Linked DNA regions of Bombyx mori. The protein of the gene in region 1 interacts with the protein of each later gene in a pairwise test. Links are inferred from orthologs where the notes say so. Each region holds a gene or a part of one and is shown in the gene's direction. Other genes may lie near its edges. The genes, in order: Smurf2 and serine/threonine-protein kinase fused.

Region 1 (4,329 bases):
TCTCATAGCGCTCGGGAAACACCGTGGAAGGGAGCTCATTCCATAGCCGGATGGTACGTGGCAAAAAAGACCTCTGGAAACGCATTGTCCATGAACGCAGCGGTTCCAGATAATGTGGATGAAGTCTGCTCCGATTGCGGGAGGTGCGATGATAAAAAGGAGATGAGGGGATCATCTCCAACAATTCCTCAGTGTCCTTAGTGCGAGTTTTTTAACGTTCTCGATAGCGTAAAAGTTAGCTCATGTTTGTATGGAATGAGATCGTTTACGTACGTTTGCCGCTAGGGGCTCTGTTCCAACTGCATACAAAATTGACTTAACTTTTACACTATCGAGAACGTTAAGAAACTCGCACTAAGCACACACAGCACTCCCCATGGAACATACGGTACAATATACAGAGAGAACCGAAGTCCCTCCGCAGACCCAGAGGTTCCAAACGATCTGTTAGAATGGGACTATCGACAATCCGAACGGCCCTCTTCTGTATGGGGTCAAATGGAAGAAGCTGGTATTTGGGAGCCCTGGTCCAGAAATAGGAGCAGTACTCCATGCAAGGCCGGACTGGTGCTTTATAAAACAACCCCAAGTATCCCGATACTCTCGGAAGGTTACAGGGATACTCCACGCGAGTATCGAATTGAACAACTGCTCCTAAAATATTTCATATTATAATTCAAAAACCCTTTTTCCATAAATGGGCAGACGAACTCACTACACACTTCGTATTGAGGAGGTAAGCTAAATACGCAAATTTATTAGTAATAGTGTGATTTTATTACACATACTTCACCGTATAAGCTGTTTTTGAAATCGTGTGGGTAATGTATTGACATTGACTTGATCATTCGTTATGAGTATTTTGGGCCACGATAATTTCAGATCGCCAGGCATCCGAAATTTTGCATTGAGACCCCGAATGCTGATTTTTTTTAAATAAATACAATGCCAAACCTAATGTCGAACCCAGACTTCGTGGTACTATAGTCAGCATCACTAAACACTGAACTAACTAGGCGGTCAAACTTTAAATATTCTTTTTGTATGCTTAGTGCGAATTAGTGCACACTAAGCACACTGTATAATAGGTTAGATACCTATAGGTAGAAAACATTAATAACATTATGCTCACGTTAAAATTGTATTGTTTTCCAATAAAATTGTTTTCTCCCTCGTAGAGATGAATTTTATTAATAAACAAACGCATAGCTTGTCCATCCATAGTATGAAAGAGGAAATTCCTGAAGCATAGACAATTATCAAATAGTAAAAGTAGGCTATAAAGTCTTGTGACTGTTGGCCGGGGAAAAAATTGATGAGAAAAATGGCGAACCGAAGTTTAGAAGTTAATTATTTTGTGTAAAATGTTTTTTTAAATCGAACTTAATTTGTTATTTTATAATAAAATGTCGACGCCCATGTCAAATCGTAAATATGGAGCCCAAAAAATTAGGCTAACTAGTGAGTAGCCAATAACGAAACACTCGTTTCGTGGACTTCGTATGATCGTATTTAAGTTTTAATGACATTCTATACATATTACTTATTTGATTGTTTTGTTTTAGTTATATGTGCAAGGAATTTGGTCCGAAAAGATCTCTTTCGTAAGTAAAGCCAACTTCGATATACGCATATTATTACTATTCAAGGTGAAACGAAATTTATGGCATGCTAACATACAATTTTTCTTTTCATGACCATGATAGTACCTAATTGTGGTGTGAAGTATATATCCTGTCCTTGTAGGTTTGCCAGATCCTTTTGCCAAAATATCAGTCGACGGCAGTGGCCAAGTATATTCAACAAATACAGTGAAAGCAACACTTGATCCAAAATGGAATACACATTATGATCTTTATTTAAGCAAAGGAGATGGAATTACCATAAGGTTGGTATTGATAGAAATATTCAGTAAATTGATTATTATGATGTTTTATCAATTAATTAAATAATATATTATATAAATTTTATAAGCACTCCAAACTTATGAAAGTTTGTTGAATGTAAGCACTCACTAATATTATCATAGTAAAATCAATAACAACATGGTGTTCCTATTTTTCATTAAATAACTTTATCACGAACATTCAAACCAATTAAGAATGTAAGCATTGTCGTTTTAACTTTTATCTTATCCTTTAATTATTTATGTTGCCATTCGCCATCAGTTCGGCTATATGCTCATATACTTAATAAGGCATTGAAATAGCATAGTATAAACTGAAAATAAAAACAATAGATCTAAAGCAAAAAACTTATTAATTAAAAAAATTTAGTTCTTCAAAATCTTAATGAACGGATTTTAGCCAAATTATACATTCATTGAGTTTTAAGTTGTTATTACAATTACAAAAATGATTACAGTGTATGGAACCAACGCAAAGTCCACAAAAGGCAAGGGTCTGGTTTTTTAGGATGTGTTCGTATACAACCATCAACTGTACATAAGCTAAAAGATACAGGATGTAAGTACCTTACGATTGATTAGACTTAACACTTTTTATTTCTGAATATAAATGTGGTAGAGAAGATGATGAATGTTTCAGCTATTTTACAAAAAAAAAGTAGAATAATTTTAAAGATTTATACTTAATTTGAAATTTAAAAAAATCATAAACATTGCCAACATTCTTCATTCAGTGTGGAATCTTTAAAGTTATGAATAGTATTTTTAAAATCATCAGCAACTCCATAAATATGATAACCTATTTTGATTATATTGTTTGTTTTATTTCATATAAGAAGTTGAATTATCTTGAACATTGTATTTGATAAGTTTATCTCTGCAAATCTCTAAGATTTAGGATATTATAAATAAAAAAGATGTCCTTCATCATGAATAATTTAAACTGATATTTTATATTTCATTATTGCAAAAAGAAGTGCAATGACATAAAAATTGTGTCATTCCTTATTTTATCATATCGACGCTTGAAAGGCAAAAGTGACTAAGCGACAATGCGTAAACTTTACAGTAGACTAATTTAAAATTGAAATACCTGAAAACAAAATTTATTTTAACGAATCTAGCTGCAGTAGAATCTAGCTAGTAGCTGTAGGATTGAAATGATTTTAATAGACCTAGAAATATTATTTTTTTGCGCATCGAATACGGTTATTGTCTATCATTTATGTACAAAGCAGTTATTGGCGCTTAGTCACGTTTGCCTTTCAAGCGTCGATATGGTATTTTTAAATATTTTAAACATTTTATTTTATAGCCATTGTGGCCTAAAATGCTTTTTATGATAACGTAATTTTACTGGTACTTCGTGAGCCTGCATAAGATTGATACCACAACCTTGCCTATTTCTACTGGAAAACATTAATGGTGCACTGGTTTGAAAAGTACAGCCATAGTTTACAACAAATATTTAATTATAATGTTTCAATTTGGATTACGCTATTTATATTGTTAAGTCTATGTGGTCCAGTGACTACTTAACACAAGATAGGCCATGAGATTGTATATTATGTAATAAATAAAGTTGTTATCTAGAGATAGAGTAGACCCTGACACATAATTTTTTGTGATAGGGAAATTAATCCTTCAAAAGCTTGCACTAGAATGCCTCATATATCTTCAGTTGACACACTTTTTTATTTAAGAATGATACATATAGGTATGCACAGTATTATTTTTTTCCTCCACAAATGACACATAATTAGGTAATCAAATTAAAGAAACTGGTTTGATGTGAAACAAACTTGTTTTCTCACATAAGTATAATATCTACTTATACTACAGCTTAAGAAGATGAATGACATCAAAAAGAAAAATGTTATGAAACTAATGAGACAATTTCCCTCCAAAAGTAAAAGTTGTAATGCTGTTCAGTAACAGATACACACTTTTTAATAATACCTAATTTTTGTCTTTGACCTACTTGAATGTGAGTGATGCCTAAATGCAACTTATACTCTCGTATACAAAATATAGCCAGGGATTTTGGCTGCCTACCACTAGCAGTACAATCCAAACTTTGATTAATATGTTAAATTACCAGCTTAATCTCACATGTTGTGTAACATGCCAGTTCAGTGTGTGTGTGTGTGTGGGTTGTGGTTCAGTGCAGTAGATGTGTGCATATGAATATTAAAATATACAGATATAAATTATTTTTGTGAAAAGAATACTATCATGGTTGCATGGTAGCAGGGACAGAGTCTGCTCTAGTGGCAGGTGTAATGATATTTTTTTAAAGAATAAAAGTAAGTAAATAGTCATTTAACATTAAAATAATAAACTCATGAAAAATATTACAGACCAATGTCTAGAACTCTGTGAAGATGGACAGTCTGGTGAGACGTGTGGAGTCAAAGGCCAGG
Region 2 (4,554 bases), on another chromosome or scaffold:
GTGAACATTTGTTAAGTACGTATTTCATTAGCAAAACTGGTACCTGGGGGTTTCGAACACCGTTGCATCGCTCGACACGAATGCAGCGGACTTCTTACCCTTTGGCCACAACAAATTCAAAATTACATTATACAACAAAATTGAGAATTCAACTTGTGTATGAAGGTGCCGGGGGGCATTCAGGTCAAAATGTCCGTGAACTGTGGTAACCGTCCAAATCCAGGCTGTATACGAGCTTCTCCACCCATCTAATGTAATAAAAAACAATTTCAGATAAATCAATAACAATTTCACTTCGCTATGAAGCTATTCTTTTCAAAAAAGGTTGACCTTTGAATTAATCCGAATCGAAGTATGAAGAATTTATTGAAAAAAATATTCGAATAAGGTTTTATGAAATATCTTCAAACAATGTAAAGAAAATAAATTTGTAGCTAACCTAATGTAACCAATGAATCATTTGGTCTTATCTATGGAGCCACTCACTGAGAATATCCGGGGAAAACTCAGGCGATTATGTCTGTGGATTAAGTTGCATGTCGAACACTTCGCCGCCCACTGAGTTTCTTGTTGGATATTCTTAGTGGGTCCGATTCAGTGGTAGATTCTGCGAAGCACTGCCCTTGCTAGGGCTGATTTTAGCAAATTCTCTCAGGTTGAGCCTGTGTGCTCATCTAACCGTAGTTGTAATAATTCCCGGCGAATAGGTAGGAGAAAAAAATATGATAAGAAGGCTACCTAATAGGTCGGGTTGCTTTTTCAAAGAAACCGCGTCTATGATCGCTTTTGGTCTAGAGACCTCGCCACTTTCCTAAGCCGGCTATTGTAAATTATTTTGTGGTCGTTTTTTGTAACAACAAACAAGGAATTTCAATTTTCCACGCTCGAATCGATTCTTTGGTTTTAGATTGAAAATAATAGTTTAAAATTACTAAAAAAAATAAGCTTTTATAAAAATTAAACTAAAAATAGAAAATAAATTTTAATAAATTTGAATTAAAAATAGTGTAAGAAAAAAATGATCTTATTGTAAAAAAAGTGTGGGTGGTTTTCAGGATATGTATTATCAAAATATTTATAACTGTTATAACCATGCACCCCACGGTTTCTTTTTACAATAAATTCATTTATTCTAAATTGTATATCTGTTATGGTGTATATATGGTGCTAATATAGATCCATTAATTTTGAAACTTCCTGTTTTTATTTATTGTTTTGCATTTCTCTGCTCCAGTCTTTTAACGTACATGATATTATGTATTGTCTATTTAGTGTTTCTTCAGGTTTAAATGTGTAATAACGTTGGTTTATTAACTGTTTATTATCTGTGAAAGTGCACAAATATGGGAAAATGAAACAAAGTCGCTGGACGTAACTTCTCGGGATCCTTCAAAAAGTCCACTGAAAAAATCAGTAAATGACCACCATTTTACTGAGATTATATTTCATCGCATATAATCTCATCATATTTCATTTAATTTTATCCCAGTTGATTAATGTCTCAAATTAATCATCTTCATTTCATTTCATGTCATGTTTCACTTCATTTTATTTCATAATGTCATATTTCATAAAATAAAATAAATTTATAAAAGATTAGGCTGTATGGTATGATACTTTTGCCTTTCTATTTGGAAAAATAAAATTACTACATTACGAAGAGAACAAAATATTTTATGTTTATTTACAATACATATGTACGACGACTGGAGCAGAGAAATGCAAATCAATAAATAAAAACAGGAAGTTTCAAAATTAATGGATCTATATTAGCACCATATATACACCATAATAGATATACAACTTTACATTTTAAAATGAATAGCTACGTTATAAATTCATTCGTCGGCGAAGGCTCATTTGGACGTGTTTTTAAAGCAAAACACAAAGATACCGATGCTGTAGTAGCCTTGAAAGTGATAAGGAAGGTATTTATTAAGTTTTTATGACTTTAAATACTTGGTGCCTTCATGATTTCCTAATTTTTTTCTATAAATGTATACCATCAATACAAATAAATTACAAAAAAAACTTGCGAGTGCTTATTAAATCTTCATTTCCACTATTTCCAAAATAATATATTTAATAAGATCATTAATAAAGTGTGATAAAATAATAATTGTACACACAGAGAATGTTATTAACCAGGTTTTCTTACTAGTAAAATTTTAAATGGTCTTATTCAGTTATCATGATCCCAATGTCTTCGCTGTCATAGATATCACGGTCAAACCTCTCGTCATCCACATTAGTTAATAAACAAATATTCTTACACAATAATTCAACATTTTCAGAAAGGTCGCTCGTCTAAAGACTTAAAATGTTTGAAGCAAGAATGCGACATACAGAGGCAATTGAATCATCCAAACATAATTCGGATGATAGACAGTTTCGACACTGATACAGAATTGGTAGTTGTCACAGAATATGCTGAGAAAGAACTACATGGAATATTGGCTAAGGAGGGTTGTCTTAATGAAGAACAAGTGAAGAAGATTACTTGGGACCTTGTGTCTGCACTGTACTACTTACATTCTCATAGAGTTTTACATAGGTAACTTGTTTGTTTCATATTTTATATCAAATAATAATACTAAACACACATTATTAATATTATATCATTATTGATGTAAATAATAATTATATCTAAACATTTTTTGGACCTTGGCAGGGGGCATAGCTAGGTGAAATCAGTATAATTTATTCATTTTTTCTCTATAGCCTGGCTTATAATAGAGACATTCATCTTATATCTCAATGTGGACAGTTATATTGATTGGTTCTGGATACTGAATCTATTAAGATTTATTTAAATAAAAAGATTAATTTGTAAAAAAATTGAGAGTAGGATAGAAAGTTATTATTGTTCTTATAGTTAATATTTAATTTGATCTGAGCTTTTAACGTTGAAATTGGATATTGAAGTAATTCTCATTGCATAAAATTGAGAAAGAAAATAATCATAGAAATATCTATGATTCATTTATTATGATTTTATATTATTCCTGAACATTTATCATACAAAATAACAATTTTAGAGACCTCAAGCCACAAAATGTGCTATTGGATAGTACAGGACGTGCCAAACTCTGTGACTTTGGTCTTGCAAGAATAATGACAAATGCAACACACATTTTAACATCCATCAAAGGCACACCATTGTACATGGCCCCCGAGTTAATTGATGAGAAGCCATATGATCATCAGGTAATTATATTAAAATAGCATTATATAAACAAAGAGTTATACTGTAATTTTCTGTGGAGATGACATGTTTTTACCTATGTCTTCCGTCTGACCTAACTATTCTTAGTAAAACTATAATTAAAAAAAAAAAACTGGTCAATCTGTTGCTTTGTTTTGATGTGAAAGGGCATACAAATACACAATCTAATAACAAACACACTTTCACATTTATAATATTTGTATAGTGTGGAAGTATGGATACTTAGTATGCATGCTGTTCCATCAATGCAGCTATGCTATTATATTATATAGTAATACTTTCAATTTTCAAAATTACATTAATTATTCTTAGTAAAACATTATTTATAACAATAATTGACATATTTTAGAGTACTTTTATTTTAATTTGTCCTTAGCCTAATTAATATAAATCAATAATTTCAGAGATTTTCCTGTACGTAATTAAAAAAAAAAAAACATGAATTTATGCTAATGATAGTTTATTCAACAATATTTTTATGTATGCATATATGGTAGGGTTTATATATTAATTAATCACTTTGCTATAAACAAAAGTGATTATATCGTTAAAACTTCATTTTATACAGATATTTCTGTCACTTTTTATGCACAAATATGCATCAAAACCTCATGGAATATTGTTATTAATCCTAAAGAGTTGCAAACATTTTTGTACATTACAGGGCTCCTTGTGGAAAATTTCAGCACCTATAACAACAGGAGTTAAAAAAATTTGCTATCACAATACTGACTAAATATCAATATAATAATTATCCAAATTGTTTTTTTTTAAGTATAATAATATGGGTGAATAAGCCACTTTGTGCTATGTGGTTACCTGAGCCCATAGATATCTCAATGTGTTTGAGCACACCTATTTTGAGACATTATATTGAGATCTCAATTGTATTTTTATTTTGTGTATTTTTTTCAGGCAGACTTATGGTCACTTGGCTGTATTGTATATGAGCTAATTGCTGGGCAACCACCTTTCTGTACAATGTCTATATGGCAACTTGTCCGCATGATTAGACACAAACCTGTACAGTGGCCTAGTTTCATCAGCACTAATGCTCGGACCTTCCTACAGGTTTGTTTGCTTTTGAGCTCTCACTTCAAGCTTTTAAAACTGCACAAATAATTTAACATTTTACGTTTAATTAAGTTATACTATTTGTACCATTAGTTTAATAGTATTAAAATATTTATTTAGGGCTTATTGCATAAAGATCCTTTGAAAAGAATGAGCTGGCCAGAAATATTGGAACATCCATTTGTAGCTGGTCACATTCTTATTCTACCAGAAGACGTCCAGAGTGAATCACCATTTACCAAGCCTTTAACACA

The links.
Region 2: the proteins of Smurf2 (region 1) and serine/threonine-protein kinase fused interact in binary tests that used the Drosophila melanogaster proteins (3 or more experiments, as listed by UniProt). The link is inferred for Bombyx mori from reciprocal best matches to the Drosophila melanogaster genes Smurf and fu.

The regions. Positions count from the first base shown.
Region 1 is NC_085123.1:10,445,318-10,449,646, forward strand, and holds the start of Smurf2 (E3 ubiquitin-protein ligase SMURF2), read left to right. Parts: upstream 1-1,406; coding exon 1,407-1,461; intron 1,462-1,565; coding exon of another isoform or gene 1,566-1,604; intron 1,605-1,746; coding exon 1,747-1,888; intron 1,889-2,364; coding exon 2,365-2,465; intron 2,466-4,266; coding exon 4,267-4,329. UniProt on the Drosophila melanogaster protein: E3 ubiquitin-protein ligase which accepts ubiquitin from an E2 ubiquitin-conjugating enzyme in the form of a thioester and then directly transfers the ubiquitin to targeted substrates.
Region 2 is NC_085116.1:10,508,119-10,512,672, reverse strand, and holds the start of serine/threonine-protein kinase fused, read left to right. Parts: upstream 1-1,630; 5' UTR 1,631-1,817; coding exon 1,818-1,928; intron 1,929-2,294; coding exon 2,295-2,554; intron 2,555-3,038; coding exon 3,039-3,207; intron 3,208-4,141; coding exon 4,142-4,297; intron 4,298-4,420; coding exon 4,421-4,554. UniProt on the Drosophila melanogaster protein: Probable serine/threonine-protein kinase; maternally required for correct patterning in the posterior part of each embryonic metamere. May be involved in control of cell division during metamorphosis and ovarian development. May interact with costal-2.